Linked DNA regions of Drosophila melanogaster. The protein of the gene in region 1 interacts with the protein of each later gene in a pairwise test. Each region holds a gene or a part of one and is shown on either strand. Other genes may lie near its edges.

Evidence for each region. The genes of interacting proteins can lie anywhere in the genome.
Region 2: the proteins of CG42709 (region 1) and scu interact in a two-hybrid assay, tested with the Drosophila melanogaster proteins (one large-scale study listed by BioGRID).

What each region holds. Positions count from the first base shown.
Region 1 is NT_037436.4:12,788,234-12,796,191, reverse strand, and holds CG42709 (uncharacterized protein), read right to left. Parts: upstream 6,001-7,958; 5' UTR 5,810-6,000; intron 4,975-5,809; exon of another isoform or gene 4,758-4,974; 5' UTR 4,612-4,757; coding exon 4,559-4,611; intron 2,377-4,558; coding exon 2,192-2,376; intron 2,131-2,191; coding exon 1,877-2,130; intron 1,812-1,876; coding exon 1,536-1,811; intron 1,396-1,535; coding exon 1,104-1,395; intron 1,030-1,103; coding exon 868-1,029; intron 735-867; coding exon 580-734; 3' UTR 108-579; downstream 1-107. Other genes in the region: Atg1 (Autophagy-related 1), read left to right, coding at 7,564-7,651, 7,818-7,943.
Region 2 is NC_004354.4:18,089,652-18,093,365, forward strand, and holds scu (scully), read left to right. Parts: upstream 1-1,607; 5' UTR 1,608-1,730; coding exon 1,731-1,739; intron 1,740-1,903; exon of another isoform or gene 1,904-2,003; intron 2,004-2,300; coding exon 2,301-3,059; 3' UTR 3,060-3,202; downstream 3,203-3,714. Other genes in the region: Swt1 RNA endoribonuclease, read right to left, coding at 1-273, 332-586, 666-771. UniProt on the Drosophila melanogaster protein: Mitochondrial dehydrogenase involved in pathways of fatty acid, and steroid metabolism.

The DNA.
Region 1 (7,958 bases):
AGGAATGTGATATGAGGAGAGTATATAGGTAAATAATCAAGTCTATCAGATGTAATCTTTTTAATCTTTTGGTTTCATAATTCAAAACAATGGTTTTCTTTTTTTTTACTATGTACAATAATTACTTTTATTGTATTTTGGCAAAAGTCTAAAGCTAACAACTAGTGTATCTATGGGTTTACATTAATTTAAGTGTTGCGATGAAAATTGATTTTGGGATCTAAAACTAGAACAGTGCCAGGAGTTTTGGTGCGGGATCCCATTTACCGAGTCCCCCTAAAGAACAGAACGCTAAGCGACTAGGCGGCTTAACCTACTCCGACTAACAACTAGAATCTAACAACGGATTCGGTTCAGTTGTTGTGCGGGAAACATTGTAGGAGAGACTATATAGTTAGGCTAGATACCGCGTCAAAGTAGTTAACTAACTAGCCATATACATACGTGATATACATATACCTATTTATAATCTATCAAAAATGCCGTCAAAATGGAATTTGTTCTCGAAACTGGAGGAGAAGGATAGGATTCTCTTTTCATCTTCGATCGTTTGGTTTCGGTTTGTTTTGGAAAGTTTTCTTAGGCTAGCTTATTCAGTGGTATCTCCTCAGTGGGATGAACCTGATCCTTTGGCTCTGGTTTGCTAGTGCGGCAGCATTTGGTTTTGATGCCGCCAATATCCTGGCGGCAAATGAGTCCGATGACGATGCCAATCACGGCCAGAACCATGATGCCTAGTGGATTAAATTGAACAAATTAGTCTGGTTTTGTACCGCAAGTAAAAGGTGTATAACTCAAACTATAACTGTTTAGCAAGATGCTTAAAATAGTTGATGTTATAAACCTTAAACCGCAGTTTGTACTCACAGATGAGCAGCGTGTTGATGGCCTCCTGGGAGATCTGCACCTGATTGGTCTGGCTCTCGGCAGGCGGCTCCACGCTGACTCCGCTTGTGCTGGTCTCGGAGCTCAGGATTCCGGCTTTGACCAGCTCCGTGCTGTTGTCCATTTTGCCCCGATTGCGATTGGCTAAATGCGAACAATGGGAGGTGAGCAACAGACACGTTAGCAAGATGATCTACGAGTCATGGGAAATAGCTCACCACTTCTGGGCGGTGCGGGTGTGGCGGTCACTGGCTTTGCAGTGCTGGTGATGCTGGCGACGATGGGCGGATTTGTAATCCCCTTGAGCGGCGGCTCCGTGGGATAGATGAGACTGCCGTTGAAGGGGGTGCCCAGTACGAATTCGTAGCAGCTGATGTCGTAGTTGAGGAAGCTAATCGTGTCGATGGAGGTCAGCAGGCTGCACAGCTCCTCGATGTTCTGTTGTTCCAGTTCCGGCAGCTTCAGTTTAATTATTTTTGTTAGCGGCGAGAAAGCTTTCGTATTGATTTGCTGTCGGAATGGAAAAGCGTGAGCGGGACAACTATATAGACAACTGCGCGATGGCAAACACAGCTGTTTTGGCTTCAGTTGCGCCAACTATCGATAGAGCGATAACTTGTGCTATCGCACTTTTGGCTCGCCATTCTTACCTGTTTAAAATCGTTCTTGTTCAAGCGCAACACCTCCAGGCCACTCATGTTCTGGAACGTCTGTTCCGGCAGTTCCGTCCAGCTGCAGTTGACGCAGCTGAACTCCACCAAGTCGGGCTGGTTCAAGAAGGATCCGTCCAGGCGCTGGGTTATGGTGTTGTTGCTCAAATCGAGTAGCGTTAGTTCCTTGGCCGCCGCAAAGGTGTCGGGATCGATTTTGGTTAGACGGTTGTTGGCCAGCCGCAGGCGCTTCAAACGCTCCGATCCCTGAAAGACCTACAATAGATAATAAGCACATTAGTTACAATTTATCTAATTAGTAGAATTAGCTGGGCACTTACATCCTTGTCTATGCTGCTGATCAGATTGTGATTCAAATTGATTTCCACCGCCCTGGACAGATTGGCAAAATCCTCCGGCCTCAGTTCGGCAATCACATTATGGCTCAGATCGATGATGGCCGCCGTTTTGGGCATGTCCAGGGGTACATGGGTCAAATGGGCATTGGCACACTGAACGAACTTGAAGTCCTCCAGGCAGAGGCAGTTGCGCGGGCAACTGGGCTCCAGGACATGGTTGCTGCGTCGTGGTATATCTGCAAAACGATATTCATTAGCCTTTTCAGTTCGGAATATATAGATTTATGTTATGCTCACTAAATATTGGTCGAAATGTGGTGGTGGTCGATGTGGAGGATGATTGTGGCATCAGTCTATTTTCTGCTGTCTCCGGCGATTCCTCGCCCGTCGCTGTTTCACTGTAGTCATCATCGCCGTAATTAAAGTCCTCGAGGGGATTTGCCTCCTCACTGCCCGCTGGAGCGGCATTTGTGTGGCTGATGCTGTAAGAGTAATCATTAAATTATTTTCCGGTCTCGACTGAATAAACCAACAATATACCAATTTGGTTTTTTCCACGACTTATAAACGAATTCACATTGCTTATGAAGAAAAACGCAGGGCAATTATATGTCAAACGAATGCGCATTTCTGATAGAGCAATTACTGTACGAATTCGTTAAGTGGTTTTACCAAATACCCAAAATTGTCAATATTTGGCTTTAGATTGTCGGTGGGTTCTAAGCGGTACGTGCTTACATCACTCACGTCTTGAAGGCGAACACACCTAGCTAATTTGTCCTGAAAACGCTCTTGACCCATATCGTTATGACCACGCCATAGCCACACAGAAACATTCGTTTTCCCCACTATCATTATACGGCTATTGTTTATGTTTGCTCCGCGAAAGAACATGAATGAATACACTCACATGTGCGAACAAGCCTACATACAAAGTATTTCTCGCTACAGTCGTGGTCACAGCAATAGCCCTTAAATGAATTAAAAGTATTCAATGATACAAGGCTTCTTAATGCAATTCATTAGATTATGCATATATTGTAAAATATATTTTGCCTTTCGTTTTTTAAGAATAAAGTAAAATCAAATAGATATACTTTCAAGCTAAAGAAAATAAAGAAAGCACACATTTCTTTTATTGTAACTCAAGCACTTTTATTGTCTGTAAAGTTGTTTATTTGTTTCTGTTAACTGACCTTACATTTTCGAAACGTACTGTAGCTACTCAGTAAAAAGCACAGATGAAACCAGTTTACTTCATGGCAAAAGAGACAACTCGACCGGTTTTAGTTTACGATTTCGTTTACTCTCACTTTTTTCAGATTTATTTTATTTTTTTGCTGTCATTTGTGACCCCTCTTCATTTTTTTTTTTGTCTGATTCTAAATCGTTCGTTATCCGTGCATTCGGCGACTTCAGTTCTAGTGGGTTGTATTTACTTTTAGAAAAAAAGGTGTAAATTGGCTAGTAGAGTAGTTCAAGTGAGTCTTTTGACTGCCATGTAGAGTTCTCTTCAATTGCGTGACTTTTGAGTGAAGTTTCAATGAATGCTGCTGAGGAGCCTTGTCAATCCTTAAAAGTGCCAAAATGAACAGAATGAACGACTTTATAGAGTCGAGTACTTGAACCGCAAGTGCTGATATGTAGCTATTAATTGGTATATAGTCCTACCGGATAATAAAGATATATTTATCGAACGTTACGAATTGCCTTCAAGCTTCAGCTGCTCGCCGAAGTTAATGGGTATTACGAAAGATCTCTAAACTGTTACTAAGCATGACGACCTAGTCGACGTAATTCCCTTGACTACTTGAATGAAGTGACTAAAATTGGAAGCGTCGCACTTAAAAGCACTCTACTTTGACATTTGATTTCGAGTGGCTGAAAAGGTTTAAAAAGGCCCAAAAATCAATAGAGAAATGGGCTTATGTGCACTGGGAAAATTATACTAGTACTAACATGCAAAGAACGATTAAAGAATTTTATCTTAGGTTTTAAAACTCAGAAGTATTTAAAAAGATTTTTTTTAGGGCAAGAATATAGAATATTTATACATAATCGATAATGTCTAAACCTCGTTTCAGTTGTAAATTAAAAGAAAAATCTGAAAATCGAGACAGTTATAAATTTCTATGTCATTTGCAATATTGCTTGAGATATTGGTTGAGAAATTCAAAACGCTGAGCAAACAATTTGATAAGCAATAACGGTATAAATTATCGGACAACCGGGGAATTGTTATTATTTTTATCAGAACCAGATTATGCGATATGATTAAGTAGAGTGTAAATTCGTGCACCTTATATATATATTAAAGGCGGCAATTAAGAGCGGTTGCCGTGGACTATCAATAAAATGTTGCTGTTTTTTTTTTATAACCCCATGCGTGAGTATTCCATTTGGCATTGATATCTCAGTTGTGGGCGGGTCAAAGTCCCGTTACCCTGGTTCACCTGTCGTTATTTCGTTTTTAGTGAATTAATCACTGCGAATGTTGCTAAACGGAAACTTTGCCCCGTGTCTTCCCTGTTTTTCGTTTTTAGGAAAGGGTCTACTGATTTCTATAAATAAATGGATTACTTATTTTCCAGCCCCATAAGAATAACAAATGTGATTTCTCCACATATCGAGATCTGTAAATATTTATTACAACTTGATTTTTACCTCACGCTTAGCAAAAATATCAGCAGTAATCCAAACTTGTAGTACACGTGCATTATTATGAATTATTTGTTTACTGATATTTGTTTAGCTTTGTTTTCACTGCGTCTTCAAGGCGTCGTGTTGTTTGTATTTGTGTTTATCTCAGGGTTTTCATAGCATTTTCGTCGTTTTTGCCAAACTTGATGTGAAAATTTTCAAGCTGAAAATAGATTTTATTAGGTGTTAGGGGCCTATTTTTGCACCGCTATTCTCGTTTCACTTTGCACTTTTAATATTCATCTGTTTTGCTTTGAAATTACAGCTTCAAAGTTGATTAATGTCCATTTACATTTGCCGGCTTACTTTTGGCAAAAGTAAAATAATTATTTTTCACTCCGCTCGCACAAACTTTTCCACTCGCTGCCGATTCTCGAATGAGCAAAAATTCGCCAACAATTCCCATTCCGTTCGACTGACTGAACAGGTGTGTGTGTGAGAGCTTCGAAGAGCGGCAAATATTATCTCTTTTTCTTTACTCTCACTCTCTCTTCCAAACTCTCTCATGTTAAGTTTAATGTTTAGCCGTGGTTATCTTATCAGTTTTTAATATTTAATTGCTTTGTCTCATACCCTCGCGATTTCTGCTTAGCTTTTAACCAACTTCTGACTTACTAATCGATTATTATCAATAGTAACAATTATGGAATTCATGTTTTCAATGAAAACAGAAAGAGCAAACTCACACTTTAAGCACCGTAAATAAAGGCTAATCGGTTTGGGTAATCCTATCTTAATTAATAAGCATTACATCACATTAGAAATTAAAATTTCAATTGCCATATTTTCAACATAATAACTTAAGCAGCAGATTTGGAAGTACAAAGAAATCTTTAGGACGGCTTGTAATATTAATAAAATTAATTACACACTTGTCTGATTAGAATTAACGCCGATCGTAATGAACTTTGCTTTGGACTTGACTTATAAGTCGGTCGGCCCGCCTTTTGATATGAAAAAAGGGAAGCTTTCACAGTTTATTTACATAATTTGCTGGAAAAATGTGAAACACTTGGCTGGCTGAATCATAGCGATTAAATTGGACGTGATTTGAGTGAAAAGTTTGTTTGAATATTTGTTTCACCGAGTGCTAAGTTAAACTCTTGTTTTAATCCCGTTTCTAGGTCTTTGTGTTGTGATTGCGATGAACAATGTATAGCAGCAGCGTTCTTTTTATCGCCTAGAATATGTTGACCTTTAGTCCACTGCGCTTACTTCGAATGACACGCGTCGTCGTTTTTCTCGATAATATATGTACTAAATTGGGTATTACACTAGAGAGTTTTCTCATCGAATTCTACTGAATGGAGGAGTATCGCGTTTAAATTATACTTAATGATTTGCTAACTTGGCTTTTTGTTGTCGCGCGATAACGTGCGACTCATGCCACCGTCGATTTGAGAATGAGCTGCGAACGGAACCGCAGAAGTTGCGAGCTTAAAAATTGAGTAAGTTGAAATAGAGCGGCTGAAGAGAGTCTTCTCTTAGCTTTCGAATCGCTCTCTTCACACTTGATTCTTCAAAATAATATTTAAAAAAGAAAGAAAAAACAGAGAAGCCCATTAATTACGCAAGTGCATTTTTCAATAAATCGCTGACTCATGGGCACTTGTTGCCGGGAAATGGCATTGCATATAATTTAGAAATTGTTAAAAAGCCCCAGAGGAAGAAAAACCCTCTTCGTTGCGAGTATTCCACCATTTCCTTCAAACTTTTACTTTTATGTTTATGTTTATGTACTTTACATGTCAATGACTTTTTGTTTAATGTTCTTCGCTCTTCGCTTCTCTTCGGCGATTTTAGCGATTTCACAAAAAGCGAGTGCAGTGAAATCTTTTGTCATTTCAAATTGGCTGTTTAATTGCCTAATGTTGCTTTGTTTGCTCATTAAACTGTAAGTGGTCCATATATTTTCTCATGAAAAACAAAAAATCCATAAAAGCGGATAAAAATGTTCGCCGCGCACATTACTTTTGTTGGTTTTTGGTGGTTGTGTTCGTGTGGAATTCTATAGTCATGTCTTCGATTGGCGGCCTCAAGGTCAAAAATCGCAAATCCTTTTAGGCAACTTGCTCAGGCCAAAAATATAACGGCATTTTGGAGAGACAGGGGTTCGTTCTCTTCATTTACATTTTAGCGAGGGCTGCTTACAAAGTTCTCCCATATCGGGATATTCTATTTTCATTTTCAAGTTTTTCAAAAACTTCTTCATGATAACTGATATTCCTTTTTGCTGTTTTCGAATGCTTAGAGGTTTATATTTTATTTGAACATTTTGTTGCCTTTTGTTTAGCATTCACTATCATATACTTTATCAATGGCTTATTATTATAATATTATATTATATTATATATTAAAAGAGAAAATTATTAATTATTCTCAAATGAGTATGGAAAAATCACTGCAGTGAACGGGCATTTTTAAAAAACCTAACTGGTGCTTTACTTCAAAGATTAAAGATTACATGGAAGTGTATTTAAAATTCCAAGTGTAAATTCCCCTAGCATATTCAATATTCTATAGCTTATTTTTACCCCAACTCTTTCTCCGCATCTGCTGACATAAACCGGAACAGAACCTTTGTTGGGCAAACGACAAAAGAAAAGCAGCTGGCTGTCTGGGCTGATCCATAAACATATTTCCCTAATTCCAGTTCTTGATTCAGAAAATTGCCATAAATCATATTCGCTTTGACCTTGCCGTTTTCTATGATTGACTGGGATTTGCACAAAAGTCGAGCGAGCAGCTGGAAGCTAAAAGATGGAAAGACCGACTGAATCAAATCTCGGGACTCTTTCATTTTCGCACTGATTGGACTTAATTCGTTTGCATGGGTTGCATTCTGCTTTTGAGGTCTTTTGGGGTCCCAGAAGATTTATATGCGCGCTGAACTCTTGACTCGTGGGGGTCTCTCTTAATTTAATTTCCCAATCAGCTCCACTCACGCTCTTCATCCTTTCTCTTTACAGTATTGCAATGGCGGCGACTTGGCGGATTATCTGAGTGTCAAGGGGACGCTCAGCGAGGATACCGTTAGACTCTTCCTCGTGCAACTAGGTGAGATTCGAAAATCCTATATAAGGGGTAGCCCTAACTAATAATTGTCAAAGATCAATATAAATTGTAACATTAATATTACTTTAGAACAACGAAATGTATTATAATTAAATATCAGAAGATCGGAAGTTAAAGTATACCATTATTTCCATTTCCCCAATTCTAGCTGGTGCTATGAAAGCACTTTATACCAAAGGAATTGTGCATCGTGATCTCAAGCCACAAAACATTTTGCTATCGCACAATTATGGCAAAACATTGCCAGCTCCATCGAAAATAACCCTGAAAATTGGTAAGTTTTGTAATC
Region 2 (3,714 bases), on another chromosome or scaffold:
CCGGCAGCATCAATAGAGTGTCGTCCCCTTTCTTAGCCTCATCCTGATCATTCTGTGCCGCCTCCTCTTCAATAGACTCCTGCCATTCCATGGGCTCGACCTCCATATCGCTGGCCGTCGAGCCATCAAATGCACTTGGATTTGTGATGTTGCAGGCTTCTGGTTGTTTTTCTATCACCTCTTCGTTGATCTTGGCCACAATATTGTTGTTGCGCTCCTCATATAGCTGCTTCTGCTGCAGCGAAGCTCTTAACAGCATGAGACGCTGGTAGGCTAGGGAGACGATAAGGAGAACATGGGATATGAGTAACTATATGCACCGGGCACTCACCAGTTTGGGTACGTCCCGCCTTCAGGCGATTGGCATCGACCAGGGCTTTTGGCTTTTCCCAGGCATTCATCGCCACCTTAGGCGGAAACTTCAGGAGTCGCTGGGGCGTAGATGTGGACGCACTTGATCGACGAGATGCGGAGGAACTGTGGGTGATCCGCTTGGTGGTCCCCTGCTCCTTCTCGTTGTCCTGCACCCGCTTTAGTTGGCCCTGCAGGCGCTTGAGGCGGTCCTGGGCGGGATGCTGGCTCACTCCTTGCCATATTGCGTGGAAAAGTGGAGTTGAATCTTGGTTCTGGCATTCTGGCAAACGCGCAGTTTGCATGGGTTTTACCATTTGACGGACGTGGCGTGCTGATGATCCTAACCAGCTGGTCGTCGTCCAACGGCCTCAGATTGGAAGACTTTGGCGTGTGCTTACTTTCTCCACCGAGCGACATATTGTGTTCTTTAACATTTGATTTCTAGGAAGTACTCATTTATTTTGTATTTCAATAGGCAATCTGACTTAGAGGTGGAGAAACATCGATGACATCATCGATATCATCGATCTTTTCAAACAATCACAAGCATCGATGTTTTTCGAGGAATCATCGATGTTCTTCCATACATCGGAGGACAAAAGTATATAAATTGGGGGTATAAATTAAATTCGGATATAACTTTGTTATGATTTATTTAAAATACTCCTTATTTATATAAGCAATATTTTTTTTTAATTATTATTTATTAAGTGAAGTAATAAGAAATATTAAAAATGAAAATAATCTTAAATTAAACAGAAACAATGTTTTGTTTTTATTTAAAGCATAAATGTTTATGTTCAAATTAATTTAAGTTATAAACCATAAAATAAATTAAATGAGTATATGTAATTCTACGGCATACATTTTGGCGTGGAAGCTAAATACGAATTCATACAATGAATAGCTTATAACTAAAATTTACTGTAATAATCTATAGCATAAGTTGTTTTAAGCCATTGAATTTGAATAGCTAAAGATTTCATTTATAAAGACTTGAATGCTGCCACCTTAATTGTTGCAAAAACATGTTCTTGAAATAATAAGTTGCCAAGTTAGTTAGCTTGCCAAATAAAATCTTCACTGTTTGCCTGCTCGAGGTAATTTATATTTAAAAGTTCTTTCAAAATCTTGCAAATTAATTGCTTGGTAATAAACAAATTGATTTAAATTTAAATTTAAAAAAAAACTCAAAATTTAAAAGCTAAGCCAATGATAGGAGCCCCCTAACCGGTAGGCAGTATTTTCAAGCGGCGCACATACGGTCACACTGCACGGTTTCGAATCGCTTAACAAGTTTTTGCTTAAAAAGCTTTGCCGAGCACTAAGTAACCACCGCCTTTCGCACCCACAACACAACGCCACCAGCCAGAACAATGATCAAGGTACGTGGGGTGCTGTAAATAAGGATCACACTGCGATTAGACGGGAATTAGTGCAGCAAAAGCGGCCGATGACTGCGCGGCCGGGGTGCAAAGTCCAATTGGGATGTGAACTCGTGTCTATTATAAACATGGAGTCCCATAAATAACTGTATCTCTGCCCACAGCGATGTACCTTGTACCCAGCCAACAATTAGCATTACTTCCCCACCGAGTTATACAATAATACAATGCGGCTTATCGGGAAACTGGACACCGAACGCATCGGTCAGCTGCTTTCGAAATAATAAGATAAACCGGCATCGGATTATAAGTTTATCTGCAAATTGAGGATCGTGCTATTTCTATACTAACTTTAACGGACAACTTCTCAATGTTGTTAAAGATAAGGATCTCAGTCCTACAGATCGTATATTTTGCATTCTATATGCTTATTCTGTTAAGATCTCTAAACATTGATGTTGTAGTTGGGATGAAATGGAATGGAGTGCATTTTTAGAATCTATTTCCTTGGATATATACATATATATATAGTTTCTAACCCCATGCCTTTCCCACCCCCAGAACGCCGTTTCCCTGGTGACCGGAGGAGCCTCTGGACTGGGCCGCGCCACCGCCGAGCGCCTGGCCAAGCAGGGCGCCAGCGTGATCCTGGCCGATCTGCCCTCCTCCAAGGGCAACGAGGTGGCCAAGGAGCTGGGCGACAAGGTGGTCTTCGTGCCCGTGGACGTGACCTCCGAGAAGGATGTGAGCGCCGCTCTGCAGACGGCCAAGGATAAGTTCGGTCGTCTGGATCTGACTGTGAACTGTGCGGGCACAGCCACCGCGGTAAAGACGTTCAACTTCAACAAGAACGTGGCGCACCGCCTGGAAGACTTCCAGCGGGTGATCAACATCAATACCGTGGGCACGTTCAATGTGATCCGTCTGTCCGCCGGACTGATGGGCGCCAATGAGCCCAATCAGGATGGACAGCGCGGCGTGATCGTGAACACCGCCTCGGTGGCTGCCTTTGATGGCCAGATCGGCCAGGCGGCCTACTCCGCCTCCAAGGCAGCCGTGGTGGGCATGACCCTGCCCATTGCCCGTGACTTGAGCACCCAGGGCATACGTATCTGCACCATTGCACCGGGTTTGTTCAACACGCCTATGCTGGCCGCCCTGCCGGAGAAGGTGCGCACCTTCCTGGCCAAGTCCATACCGTTCCCGCAGCGCCTGGGCGAGCCCAGTGAGTACGCCCACCTGGTGCAGGCCATCTACGAGAATCCGCTGCTCAACGGCGAGGTCATCCGTATCGACGGTGCTCTGCGCATGATGCCCTAGATCCGGCTGAGCACTGTCTTGGACCTGTGGAAGTGGCTCGATCAGTTTGCATTTATCTATTGTCTAGTGGTTAAGCTGAAAAGTTTTATTATCTGTCCCGAAATTATGTAATAATTGCTATTAAACACACAATGTCACATTTCAAATTTTGGAGGCGCGTCTGCCTGCTGTTCTTCAACACTGGTTATATATAAGGGATAGCTGGGGTGTATTGGCTGCACAGGTCGTTGCAACAGGTGGATTAATTTTTTGTAAGTCAATTTTATTACTGACTTACTATTTGTGCAATTAATTCTTAAGCAACCATGTATTTATAATAAGAAAATAGTTTACTATCATATTTACAAAGTTGGTCTGAGCTTAAATATTTATTGAATAAAAGGGTATTTCTAAGTCGCTAGCCCTTAAGATTTCCCTGTTGTTCCCGCAAGTTGGCAGTTCCGTTTCAAAATGTAAACAACGAACATTTGAAAATCGCTCTTCAGAAGATAATGCCATATCAGCGCTGCTGAGCCGGGAACTTCGTAGGGCAGCTGGCGGGGATCAGGAGAATGTACCCCCTGTCCAGCAAACGGATCGCTTGGGAACACAAGACGCAGAGCAATTTAAGTGGAAGGAATCCCCGGCAGGAGATGATGCACTGGTGGTCAATGAG